Danio rerio: one gene and its partner. The protein of the gene in region 2 purifies or fractionates together with the protein of the main gene of each other region. This does not show direct contact. Links are inferred from orthologs where the notes say so. Each region holds a gene or a part of one and is shown on either strand. Other genes may lie near its edges.

Evidence for each region.
Region 1: the proteins of ran (region 2) and ipo9 purify together in Homo sapiens (affinity purification with mass spectrometry; 3 studies listed by BioGRID and IntAct, with this or other methods). This does not show direct contact. The link is inferred for Danio rerio from reciprocal best matches to the Homo sapiens genes RAN and IPO9.

The regions. Positions count from the first base shown.
Region 1 is NC_133186.1:26,925,659-26,931,009, forward strand, and holds the start of ipo9 (importin-9), read left to right. Parts: upstream 1-1,270; 5' UTR 1,271-1,337; coding exon 1,338-1,503; intron 1,504-3,576; coding exon 3,577-3,638; intron 3,639-5,351. Other genes in the region: kdm5ba (lysine (K)-specific demethylase 5Ba), read left to right, coding at 1-33, 152-283. UniProt on the Homo sapiens protein: Nuclear transport receptor that mediates nuclear import of proteins, such as histones, proteasome and actin. Serves as receptor for nuclear localization signals (NLS) in cargo substrates.
Region 2 is NC_133189.1:25,977,507-25,984,306, reverse strand, and holds the start of ran (GTP-binding nuclear protein Ran), read right to left. Parts: upstream 3,854-6,800; 5' UTR 3,722-3,853; exon of another isoform or gene 3,125-3,721; 5' UTR 3,082-3,124; coding exon 3,049-3,081; intron 1-3,048. UniProt on the Homo sapiens protein: GTPase involved in nucleocytoplasmic transport, participating both to the import and the export from the nucleus of proteins and RNAs. Switches between a cytoplasmic GDP- and a nuclear GTP-bound state by nucleotide exchange and GTP hydrolysis.

The DNA of each region.
Region 1 (5,351 bases), on a different chromosome or scaffold from region 2:
GCAAAGCGATGCCAGCAGCCAGAAGGAAACGAGGTAAGTTCTAGCACAACTGAAATGTTTTTGTTGCTAAAGCAGTGCATCATTCTTGCTTGCGTAATTGGTTTATTTTAAGGCTCATGAATAATTAACACACTTTTCTTCGTCCTCTCAGGTAAACTGGGTCCAGTGTGACGGCAGCTGTAACCAGTGGTTCCACCAGGTCTGTGTGGGAGTGTCTGCTGAGCAGGCCGAAAACGAGGACTACATCTGCGTCAGCTGCGCAATAAACGATTTGTCAGAATAAGGACCAAAATCATGTTTTTTTCGAAGGATAGTCAAAAAGGCTCCCCGTTTTGCACATAAGTTACAGCACCAAGAATGCACCAGATATCATCCTCTTACTGAATCCCGCCCTCCTCGCTCCCTTGGTGCTACTGCCTTCTTGATAGGACTGTTAACAAGAAAAAAATCTGTATGATTCTTCAGCTTTTTGTTTTGTATTTTTGAAGATTTCCTTCTATAACACTTTTCTTTTCCTTCTCTAGAGAACGTGATGCATAGATGTACCTCAGGGGTTTCCATCCCATAAATGCAAAACAAAGGGGAACTTCGGCATCCCCAAAATGTATTTTTGTTCATATTTATTATTTTATTTCTTTCCCCAATCGCCTTGAGAATTTCTTAACATGAATTTGTCGATCTGGGCTATTTACACCAAATAATATTAATTGGACTAATCAAAATGGTCTAAAATTATTTTTGGAACCCACTGTTTTGGTACATGTGTCTAATAATATAAAATATTATTTATTTATCCCAGCAATAACGCGGCTGGTTACCCTGATTTTTCAGTAGCTTGAGATCTGCTCTGATCTGTTGCTTGATGCATTAGAAGTGTTTGTACAGAATCCTAATGTAGGTTGTCAGACAAAAAGAGATGTAGCAGGCAGAAGAAAAAGCTGTGTGAAAATATACTTTGTGATGTATACTGTGGCTTTCTTTAAAACAGATCTTTTCCGATGTTAATTCAACTGTGGAATAAAATGGTTTGTTCTCACCTACAAACACTGATTCACTTCTGGTGTCATTTGTGTGCAACTGAATAAGTGGAAAAGCATAAACACGAGTATTGAGCGTTAGATGGCGACAAAGTGGGGCACATAAAGGCAGTTGAAAGTAGCTGTTCAGCCTCCTTTCCTCTGGATGGAGCCATTATGGTTATGAAAGCGCCAATGATTCTCGAATGGCAACATTTCATCGTTTCATAGTCCCTCCCTGAACGTGCATTGGCGCGCTGTGCATCCTTCCGTCGGCTCCCCGGTCATCTCTCCGTTAGCCTCGGCAAGACTGGCGAAAATATGGCGGGTATGAGCGCGTCGGGCCCCGGCCCGGTTTCGAGTCTCGACCAGGTGGACAAAGGATTGAAGGAGACTCTGATAGACGCGCTGAACGCCATTCTGTCCCCGGTGCAAGAAGTGCGAGCGGCGGCGGAGGAGCGCATTAAAGTGCTGGAAGTGACGGAGGGTAAGAACTGACATGAGATGCAGCCACAACATGCATGACACCATGTGAAGAGCACAACTATTTAACACACAGACCTTGCTGGACTTTGTTTCACAGTTCAAATGCTGATTTTGTTGTGTGTTTTGGCCGTGGTTATAATTCATGTACTTACGATGCATTGTTAAAAATATTGAATGGAATTATGAGGCGAAGTGTGCAGCCGATTTCAACATGTTCCCGCATTTGTAACTTGATGGTTGTTCAGTCATAAGGTAAATAATACGAGTGTGAAGTTTAGCTGTGCTCTTCTACATCAAGTTAGTTTCACTTTTGCACTCGTTTTCCTAACTTTATGGTTATAAAAACGCCTTTCTAAATGCAATTTCCAAGTTATTGTTCCCGCCCAACTCACTCTGTTTCCTCATGTTTATGTTGCTCCAAAACTATATCACTTTTACATATATTTTATTGGTCTATTTTCAGTCTGACAGCCTCAAAAAACATTTTATTGTAAAGAAATATCCATACAATTAAAGTGAATGGTGATTCATTTTTGTGTTTCACGAAAGAATATGGTCAGTGGTTAGATTTTGGATAAACTACCCCTTAAATGTTCTGTTTTATTAATATTTTATCATAGCAGACCTCTTCATCCTTTTATTTCGCTTTCTAATTACAATGCCAAAACACAGCTGACCACTTGAGGATTATTCTAGTGTCCATGTTAATATTAAGTCCAAATACCCACTATCATGATGGTTACATCACCCAGTATTTTTAAAGTTGCTTTATTGCTTGGAGTTTTGTGGCTGTTTCATCATCTTTATTTGGGGAGAAAGAGCAGAATCCTCTTTATTTTCACTGATTGGGAATCTGTAGCGTTGACTAAAGGAATAAAATGTATAAATATAGAGATCAGTAATGGAAAAAGGTGAATGCATTAATAATGATAAGGATGTGTTTTGTATGTTGACTTTAAGTGAGAAACATGTCTCTTTAGTACTCATGCTAAAGACAGTGCTGTTCAATATGTTTGGAGGAATGAGCCATTTTTTGTGGATAAAAGACAGTCAAAATAGCTAAACATTTATTTGAAACCTTTTGTTTTATAACAGGTATATACAAAAAACCTTCACTATTACTTTTGAACAATTAAGTACATTCTTAATAAAAATAACAAATAGACCCCAAATCTTTGCGAAGTGTGTCTTTGGACCGCAAATCTAATTGCTTAAAGTAAAGTGATTTGAAAAATAGATTATTTGTATGCAATTTCTATTAATAAAAGTGTTAATTTCTTCTTAAAATGACACCGTCTCCAAACTTTTGAACAGTCGTGTATCTATGGACTGTACACTGTATGCTTTGTTTAGGAAAAAAGCACATAATTGCAGAATTACCCTTGAAAGTCAGTTGTTCAGTGGGTTGTGGCCTCTCTCATGGATCTGCTGTGTGTTTGGTGTCAGCAGTAACATTGTCTGTTGGCTACTAGCCTCTTATTGAACTAAATCCATGGATGATGAAATATGATGATAGCAGTGTTGTGTGACTTGCATCTAATGCATTTTAGTTCACACCAAAATGCAAATTTTATTGTGATTTACAGTCCAACAGTTGCAGTTGACTTTAGTTAAAGAACATTTTTAGATAAAACCGTGGCCCTTAGTTATTCATATATTGTTAGTCAAATCTACCAGGACTTTTTGATGGTCAAAAACATATAGAGCTGTAACAAAATTTTCTTAAGCTAAATTCATTAGCTCATGCACAATCTAATCCTTTAGCTTTGTTAGAAGTCAATATCTCACTAGAATTGATTTTGTTTTGCCTGTATGTTTTTTTTTTTTACTTTTTTCTTTTTACTTAGTTCCACTGATTAGGGTTTTACATTTATTAAGCATCAAGCACTGAGAACATTTCCAGCTAAAAATCTTTTTAATCTTTATATGTGGGTAAACTATCAACTTTCTGTTGATCAGCATAGAGCTTGTAAATTACTTTTTTTTTATTTTTTTTACTTTGTTTTGTTTTGCTAATTGTTATTTTTGGTCTCACGCAGGAAGTGACCTAATATTTTTGCTCCTGTTTTTGTAGAGTTTGGAGTTCACCTTGCAGAGCTCACAGTCGACCCACACGGAGCACTCGCTATTCGCCAAGTAAGACTTGATATCTGCATTTAACAGCATTTATTAAAGTCCGCATGAACCGGAAGTTGACTAAATTTCAGTTTGATGATGTAGTTCCAACTGAAAAGAGATGATTAGTAGGGGTGGAGCTTTCTATTTTCTTATCATTCTCTCATAGCAAACTATCAGTAAGGTGGGCATGGTCAGGAACATTTTGTCTGAAGCATAGATTATAAAAGATATGGACGTAGTGTCCGTGACGTCACCCATAGGTTTCTGAAGAGCGCAAATGAAGTTACAAGTCAAGTGGGCGTGGCCAACTGGCACCATCACTCCAACTAGACGAGACAACATCAGAGGAAATGCAGAGGAGAAAAGTGGTCAGTCGCCACCAGACCTGAGATCCCTCTCTCATACCCACAAATTCCTCTGAATGGAGGAGGACATCATTAAAGCATATAAACTATTAGCCCAAGCTGCGATGACGGCCCTTTCCCACCTCCACCTCAAAATCTTTTGAAAGTTGGGCGAACTTGTAACTTTTGCTTTTTGTCGCTATTAATACACGCACTGCGGGCTACACATAGAACAACTTTATTCTCTCCAACACCAGTGCGTACACGGGCAGAGGCTACATCGTTAATTATACACACACACACATCAGGACCATACCATTACATAAACTGCATGGGGGGTAAATCTGGACTAAACCATTCAATGCTTATACTACACTTCACATATTTCGCAGAGCTAAAAACAAGACAATATCTTCCATCGTGGCTAGTGTGACGCAGATGCTAAATCTCGCTTTTATGCATGCGCGACATCGTAAATTGTTTGACAAGTGTAAACGCATGAATTGGATATGGCTCACAATTAAAACAACGTATTAACAGACAGCCAAACAAATCGGATATTTGCAAAAAATCGGAATTGGGCATCAAGACCCGACAGTGTACATGGTGCCTTTGTCTGGCTTTTCTTTGGGAGAAACGCTTAATACTTCATTACCTGCGACTCGTTTGTGTTTTGAACACATGTGCTTGGTTGTATACTATATCAATAAAGCGTTCAGTGTTTAAAAAAAAACAGTTTCAATGCATTGACCCACTAAGCATTGTTCTTGACGTTTTTCTACAGGGCGAATGTAAATGCCAGACTATTTATGAAATCTAGGCATTAAACTGTATGACAATGTTTAAGATGATAAACAGCCTACAGCTAATCAATCTGTCAGATTCTGAGGTGCATTGCAGTTCTAAAGAAAATGATAGAAATTATAATTTAAATAAAATAATGTGTATGTATATATATATATATATATATATATATATATATATATATATATATATATATATATATATATATATATATATATATATATATATAGTAAGAATTCCACTCACTTGGGAAATGGATGCCACGTGAAAGGTTTGTGAGCACAATAAAGTGCCCATAGTATGCCATATTAACTGATAATTGTTGGAAATAATTCCAAAAAGCAGCTGACTGTGTAAAGCCACATAAAACAAAACAAAAATACGATGTATATGCAGAGTTCAGCGGCTAATCAGCTGGAATCAGCTGTGGTGAAGTGACGACGATAAGCAAGACCTAGCTGTCACTCAAGTGGCCCCCTTAATTATGCAGTCTTAATATAATATAATATAAACTAAATGGATGAGTTATTAAAAAACCCTCCTCACAGTTGTCATGAAGTGTAATATTAGCTAGATACACCAA
Region 2 (6,800 bases):
GTTGTGTAATAGCCACATATATGGCTTTACGAAGTAAGGGTGTCACAATCCTCCAAATCCCTGATTCGATTACATTTTCGATTCTAAAGTCACGGTTCGATTCGATTTAAAAAAGAACAATTAAATAATCATAAATGAATAATACAGTAAATGAATAAAAATAAGTTACAAACATAATTGCCATCCGGAAATCACTTTCCGCGAGACTCGTGAATAGGCAGTGATCTGTGTCCTTATAATGGCATCAGTAAAAAAAGGTCCACAACCAACAGGACCAAGCCAACAGTATCTAAGGCGTTCGCTAAAATTACCAAGTACAAGTGTAAAAGTGAAAGATTGAAGCAGTCTACTGACCCGCTGACTGCCTGGACTGCTGTCTTGAGCAGATGACAATGTGTGTGCCTGCCTGTGTGTATGTGGTCACGTGATGTGCGTTTTCAGCGGTAGTGAGGAAGGAGGGCTGCTCAGAAATGCAAGACGTCTGTGTGGATGTGGATCATTATAAAATGCCATTCAGGGCCTACTCACACTATGCCATCCGTACCGTGCCCAGGCCCATTTCACGGATCATTTGAGAAGTGTGAGTGCGCTGAATCGGGCTCAACCACGGTTCACTTGGCCGGCCCTGGCCTGGTTGGAAGAGGTAGGCCTGAGCGCAGTTCACTTGGGCTTTGGCGCGGTACGCTTGTAGTATGAGTGCAAAATGCGCCAAAGCCCGAAACTGAAAGCGAGACGTCTATTAAGTAACTTTTATATGAATTTATTAATCATTCTTACTGTTCAGTGAACACAAACTGCCGTAGGTTATTAAAGACATAAACCCCTCACTGCACCACAGCTACGCTCCTTCAGCAGACCTCCTCATTCCTGCAGCACAAGAGCTTTATGATTATGAGCGCCAAAAGTGGCGGATCTGTTTGGCAAAATATTTGACTCTGGTCACCGCATCCCTAATGACTGTTTGGCGAAATTTGACTGCATATCAAACGACTGAAACAATATAACTAGAGAAATCTCCACTGTGCTGCTGAGTGAGAGCGCTTCTCACTGAATAGCACAGCAGCGATGACGCAAGCCTGCCGAGGCCTGATTGTGGTGTGAGTGCGGGCCATCGGGGGAGACGGGAGAGGGGACAAGCGTGCTTTGGCACGGTTCGAGGCAACTGTACCTAGTGTGAGTATGGCCTTAAAAAACAAGACTTATTAATGTTAAGGGCCTGACTGGATTGGAGGGTGGAGGATCACGATGCCGGTGTTGTCTATCGGCCCAACCCTAATACATAGCAGAGCTTGCAAAGAGTCTTTTTTTCCGACAACACGAACGTTGACAACATAACTTACTGGAAATCCAAAATACTTCCACACCGGCTACTTCATTGAAAGAGGAGAGGGTTTAAGTTCTGTCGACGGGTCTCCTGCATCTGCAGTTCAACAAGAGTGTTTCTTTTTTTTGGGGCTTGGCAACATCGACGATTCCATTTTTTGATTCGATAATCGAAATGGAGCATGAATTTCAATCCAATTAAAATAGAAATTGTGACACCCTTATAACGAAGAGAGAAATACAAGTGGGGATATCATTCCTACCGGCAAATGTGCATTTGATATCAAATACGAAAGTGAAAGCATGCCAAAATATTAATGAGCCGTTTATTCAATAGAAAAGCTGACAAATTACATCTGATCATTTTCTTCATTTTAACTGTACAATTTTTTGCAATAGGCCTATTGTTAAATGTTTTGTTTATTTCTGCACTGACACCTCAAAAGAAAGCTCAAAATTGATCTGCTTCCAACAGGTTTTTAAAAAACATTAATTCAATAAATAGAATTTTACAAAACATGACAACTAAAATGAAGCTATGAGAAAGTCTTACCTCTCTGATTTATATTTGGTGATAATGTGGGCATTAAAATTAAAAGATAGATAGATAGGCGGAAATATATACATCTATCCATCCATCTCCCCCCTCAAATTTAAATACATCACAATTGTATTTCTTTTAACTGTCAGTTGTATTTAAAGAAAAGTTATGATGAAGCAATGTTTTGCTTTTGACATTTAAAATTTGTGGCTAAAAATGAGCTATTAACTTTTTTTTATGGGGCCAGTGAAAATTTTGGCAGGGCAAGTAAAAATCCTAACTACTGGCTTGATTGGGCCAGTAGAAAATTCTTAGCACTGTATAACCCTTTTACAGCTTGAAAAGAAATTAAGATATGGATTTTTTTTTATATCCTATAAAATACATCTCCCACATGTAAAACAGTGATGGTCAATGGGGTAACATTATACAAATGTAATAAATTAAGATCTAAAGGTCTAATTGTTTTTAAAATTTAATATACAGCCACTACTATCAATAAAGCTTCATTTTATGTCATATTACATCTACATTTCAACAGGGCAAATTAATTTTAAAGGAAATCAATCCTGGGTTTAGGAATCAATAGAAAACACTAGAATGCAAGTATGAGGCAAGAAAAACTATCGGGCAGTTTGTGGAGGTTAAAAACTATGAGAAACATCTAATTTAAAACTATACCATTAGGAATAATGGCAATAACTACAATAGCAATGGTAATTTGTGTCAACAAAAGTTTCAATATTATCCAACTATAATAATATTGCTAAAGGGTCAAAATTAGAAGATTCTGCCCTGGTAAGTCTTGACAATATTAAATTATATAAAGCAATGTTGTACAGATTGTTGTAATAGACTATAATACAGAAACTAAAATAACAAAATATAAAACAAACTGGTTAAAGACAATTACACAAATTTAACATCATTTACTAAATAACTACAGTTTATTAGTAATAATAAACAATTATATGTAGTATAGTATGTAGTAAAAAATATCCTTAAATTCAGCATCAAGTGGGTTCTCGCGCTTCAATGCACTCGTTATCAGCAAGGAGTCTGCGAATTCACTAACGTTACGAAACAGTTTAGAAACTTAATGTGATGAACATGTAAACACTCAAACTGGGGCTTTAATTTGTTACCACAGACTGTCGTGCCTTTAAAGTGAAAGTGTAAGTTACCTTAAACTGAACTTGTGGCTCGTTCTCCGCCATCGCTGTACTGTGAGTGTGTGTTGGTCTTTGTGCTGCAGTCACTCTGCGGGAGAGATGGCGGGACGGTTAGTCACATCACACAAAGGCCGCACCAATTCCAAATAAAGGCCACGGGACCACAAGATTACTCAAATAAACCTTTTCGAGCCAATATTAAAAACAAAACCGCTTTTAGAACTTAAAACAAACAAATGTAATGCTCATTGAACAACACGCAGATCTAAATAAGGGGATGCGCGCGAACACACGAGGCCGCTGCCGCTGAAGCCTAAACTTCACAATACAGCGGCCGCCCGAAGGCCTCAAACAGGCCGTCAACATGAAAATCAACAAATAGCGAATTTAGTAGTTTTTAGAAATCCAGAAATTAGTTTAGTTGACAGAACTTAAAACGAAGTAAGTGTTGTTTCCGCGGCTCCAAGATCGCGCGCTACCAACAACTCGGGATGGCGCTACGACAGAGATGAGCCATGATGAAACACTCAAAACTGCACATCTGCGGCCAATAAAACGATCAGACTGACTTACTAGCGCCTGGGCACTGCAGAAAAGCTTTCAGATGTGTTTAGTCGGCGCTGAAAATAAAACGTGTTAGTGAAAAGAGTGTGTGATGAGATGAACGCAGTCGTTCCGCACTCACCGGTGTTGAAGTGATCGAGGAAGAGAGCAAATGGCTGCGCCCGCGCGGGATTCAGCATGGCTCACATAAACGCTTCCGCCCCACCACGTGACCTGCTGCTGCCGCGGGACAACAGCGTCATTTAGTGGCAGAAGAGCGAACCTTTTACAGCATATCACTCAATTTTCTTCGGCTTTAGTTCTTACTTTATCATGAGTGAAGAGCGAATAGATTAAAGGCATAAGTCACCCAAAATGAAAGTTCTGTAGACATTTATTCACTCTTTACTTGTTTCAAAACTAACTAGTTTTCTTTTTTAAATAAAAACCGACATTTTTAAGAAAGCTGGAAATCTGTAACCTTTGAAAGAGATGTGTGCACAATTTCCAAGACAAAATCCTGCCCCAACCAGGCAATGAATCTTCTGCCCGCTGAATAAAACGAGAGATAAAGGTAAGGAGCAGGTTGCCCTCTCAAGTGTCACCTTTGAGGACAGAAACACTGAAGGTAAATACATACAATTGTTACATTATGAAATTCAATTTGCACGTACGTACTAAAATAGTAATACAGCATGTTTTGGTCGATGTGCCCCTCTTTAGATCAAGATTCTTTAATAGATTGTTCTCTGAGTCATGAACTTCAGAAAATTGAGCAGAACGTCCAGCTCCAATTCCATTTCCAGCAAGACATCCAGCTCCAGCAGCCCGTCCAGCTTCAATTCCAGCAGCCTGCCCTTGATGATCAGCAGGTTCAACATCTGGCTCAAGACTTCAACGGTATATTGACCTTTATATGTATTTTGTCAACAATGTTCATGCTATGTTCCAACATCATAATATGTGTTAGCTATCTACCGGTACTTAATGTTTTATAGAAGCCTTTTTTCCTAAATCGAGTTGTGGAGACATGTGAAATAACCCTAAGGAAAGTTGTTCCTAATACATATGGAAATATTCCTTTTTATATGTTCACTAATGATAACTCCAATTACTTTACTTTTTGTAGGTGACATTTTGGGCTGCTATAAAATTGTACAAAAGCTTGGTAAGGGAGGACACGGCACAGTCTTCAAAGCGATTTGCTTGATGGACGGTCTTGAGGAACTACATTTTTACTCACTACATCTTAGCTAAATGTTTCTCTCACTGCCTGTTCAGGTCCTTTTATTGTGTCACGTTACATTGAAAACGTTTAATAAATGTGACTAATTCACCAACATTACAATTGTTGTGTTTTGTTAATCAGGTGGCATTGAAGGTTGTTTTGAAGAGGAACAATATGGATTATCTCAGCATTGTAGTTCTCTTGATTTTTAGTTCAAGATATGTTAATTATAGCCAAAAAAAGAATTTTCAAACATCACTGACAACAAATTTCTATCTTCTACAGCCTGGTCATCCTACTCCCCTTTCATTAGAAGTTGCACTAACAATACTTGCTAACGAAGGATTCCTCAGATCATCCAGATGCTGGAGTGGCAGGAGCTGCCAGACTCTTACATCATGGTTTTGGAGCACCCCTTACCCTGCAAAGACCTTTTTGACTTCCTGGAGCACTATGAAGGAACCCTCAGTGAAGACGTGGCACGGTACATCATGTGGCAGGTAGTGCAGGCTGCCCACATGTGCTGTCAAAGAGGAATCCTCCATCGCGACATTAAATTAGACAACCTGCTAATCAACAAGGACACCTATGAAGTCAAGCTTATTGACTTTGGGTGCGGTGACATCCTAAAAACATCAGCCTGATTCTGTGGTATATTGTCCTTCAAGTCTGTAGTTAAGGACCTAAATTCTAACAAGCAGCTACACCATATTTTGAAAAGCATAAGCTTTCTTACTGTAACTAATAAAGAATATCTTTTTTTCCAGGAAAAGAAATGTACAGCCCTTCTGAGTATCAATCAACAGGCGGATACTACAGCAAATCTGCAACCATTTGGTCACTGAAGATCCTTTTATTTGAACTGCTGTGCAGAAAGCCTCCAGAAAACATTGACCTGGACATGACCCATGCATGGCTGTAGTCAAAATTTGGATTGTCAAATGGTGAGCTTGCCATTCACCACAGCACATTAAGCCAACTGTTAATCTAATTCACACGCTGTAATATTTCAGTACTTTTTCAAGGGTTTTGGACCATCAAATCTTATTGTTTGGATAAGGATTATCAAAGCAAATAGATTTAGGTAATGATCTTAGATAAGAACTCTCCCATCTTTCTCCACAGAGTGCTGCAACCTGGTTCAGCCTTGCCTGCAGAGTAGCTGGATGCCAAATGCCAGACTGATTCGTTTTTTTATTTTTCATTTTGACTACATTTTAGTCTTATAATTTGTGCAAGGACCTTCAAAAAGTCTTTGGTCTAAAACTGCCAAACACTGAGCTGCCATTCTCCATATTCCAAAAGGTTCTTGTGACCACAAAAAGTTCAGCACATCACTTTCAAAGGTTCTCAGTTAGATTAGCATTTTGCTGACTGACATGCCTTGCAAGTTTCCTGCCAAGTAACAAGACATTTATGCCAATACCTATGGTTCCTTTACCCAGCTGCCTCAGTTGCAAATGTTTTGGACAAAGCTGTACTAAAGGGTCCTTCAGTTTCTGTCATTATTCAAAGGAGGGATGTTACCTCAGGCCACAAAATCCGGGGCCTTCTCTTCATGAAACTCTAGCAAAGCATTGTTTCACAACCACCATTGTGTCTGTAATGGCTTGCTGAGAAGAAGCTCCTGCCCTGTCCTCATCCGAGAGATCTGTCAAGACTTACAGATCCTGACAAAAACCTCTTAGGAAAGCTCATCTCCCAATTCCTAACATGCTGTATAGAGGGAGCCTCTTGAGCATGTTGAGCAGCTGAATCAACTGAACTATTTCAAAACACACACAATTATTTAAAGAAACTTTGTTTACAGATTCTGAAGTATTATGTTTATGCTTCTATCTCTTCTTTTGAATTGTTTGATGCACTCTCTGTGGTGCACTGTTTGCACCAGGTTGCATTATGCACTTTACATGGCCAGACCATTTTATTCCTCAATCCTTGGTTCTGTGGGTTTTTGATTTGTTTATGTATCTCTGTTTTGTGTAGTTGTGTG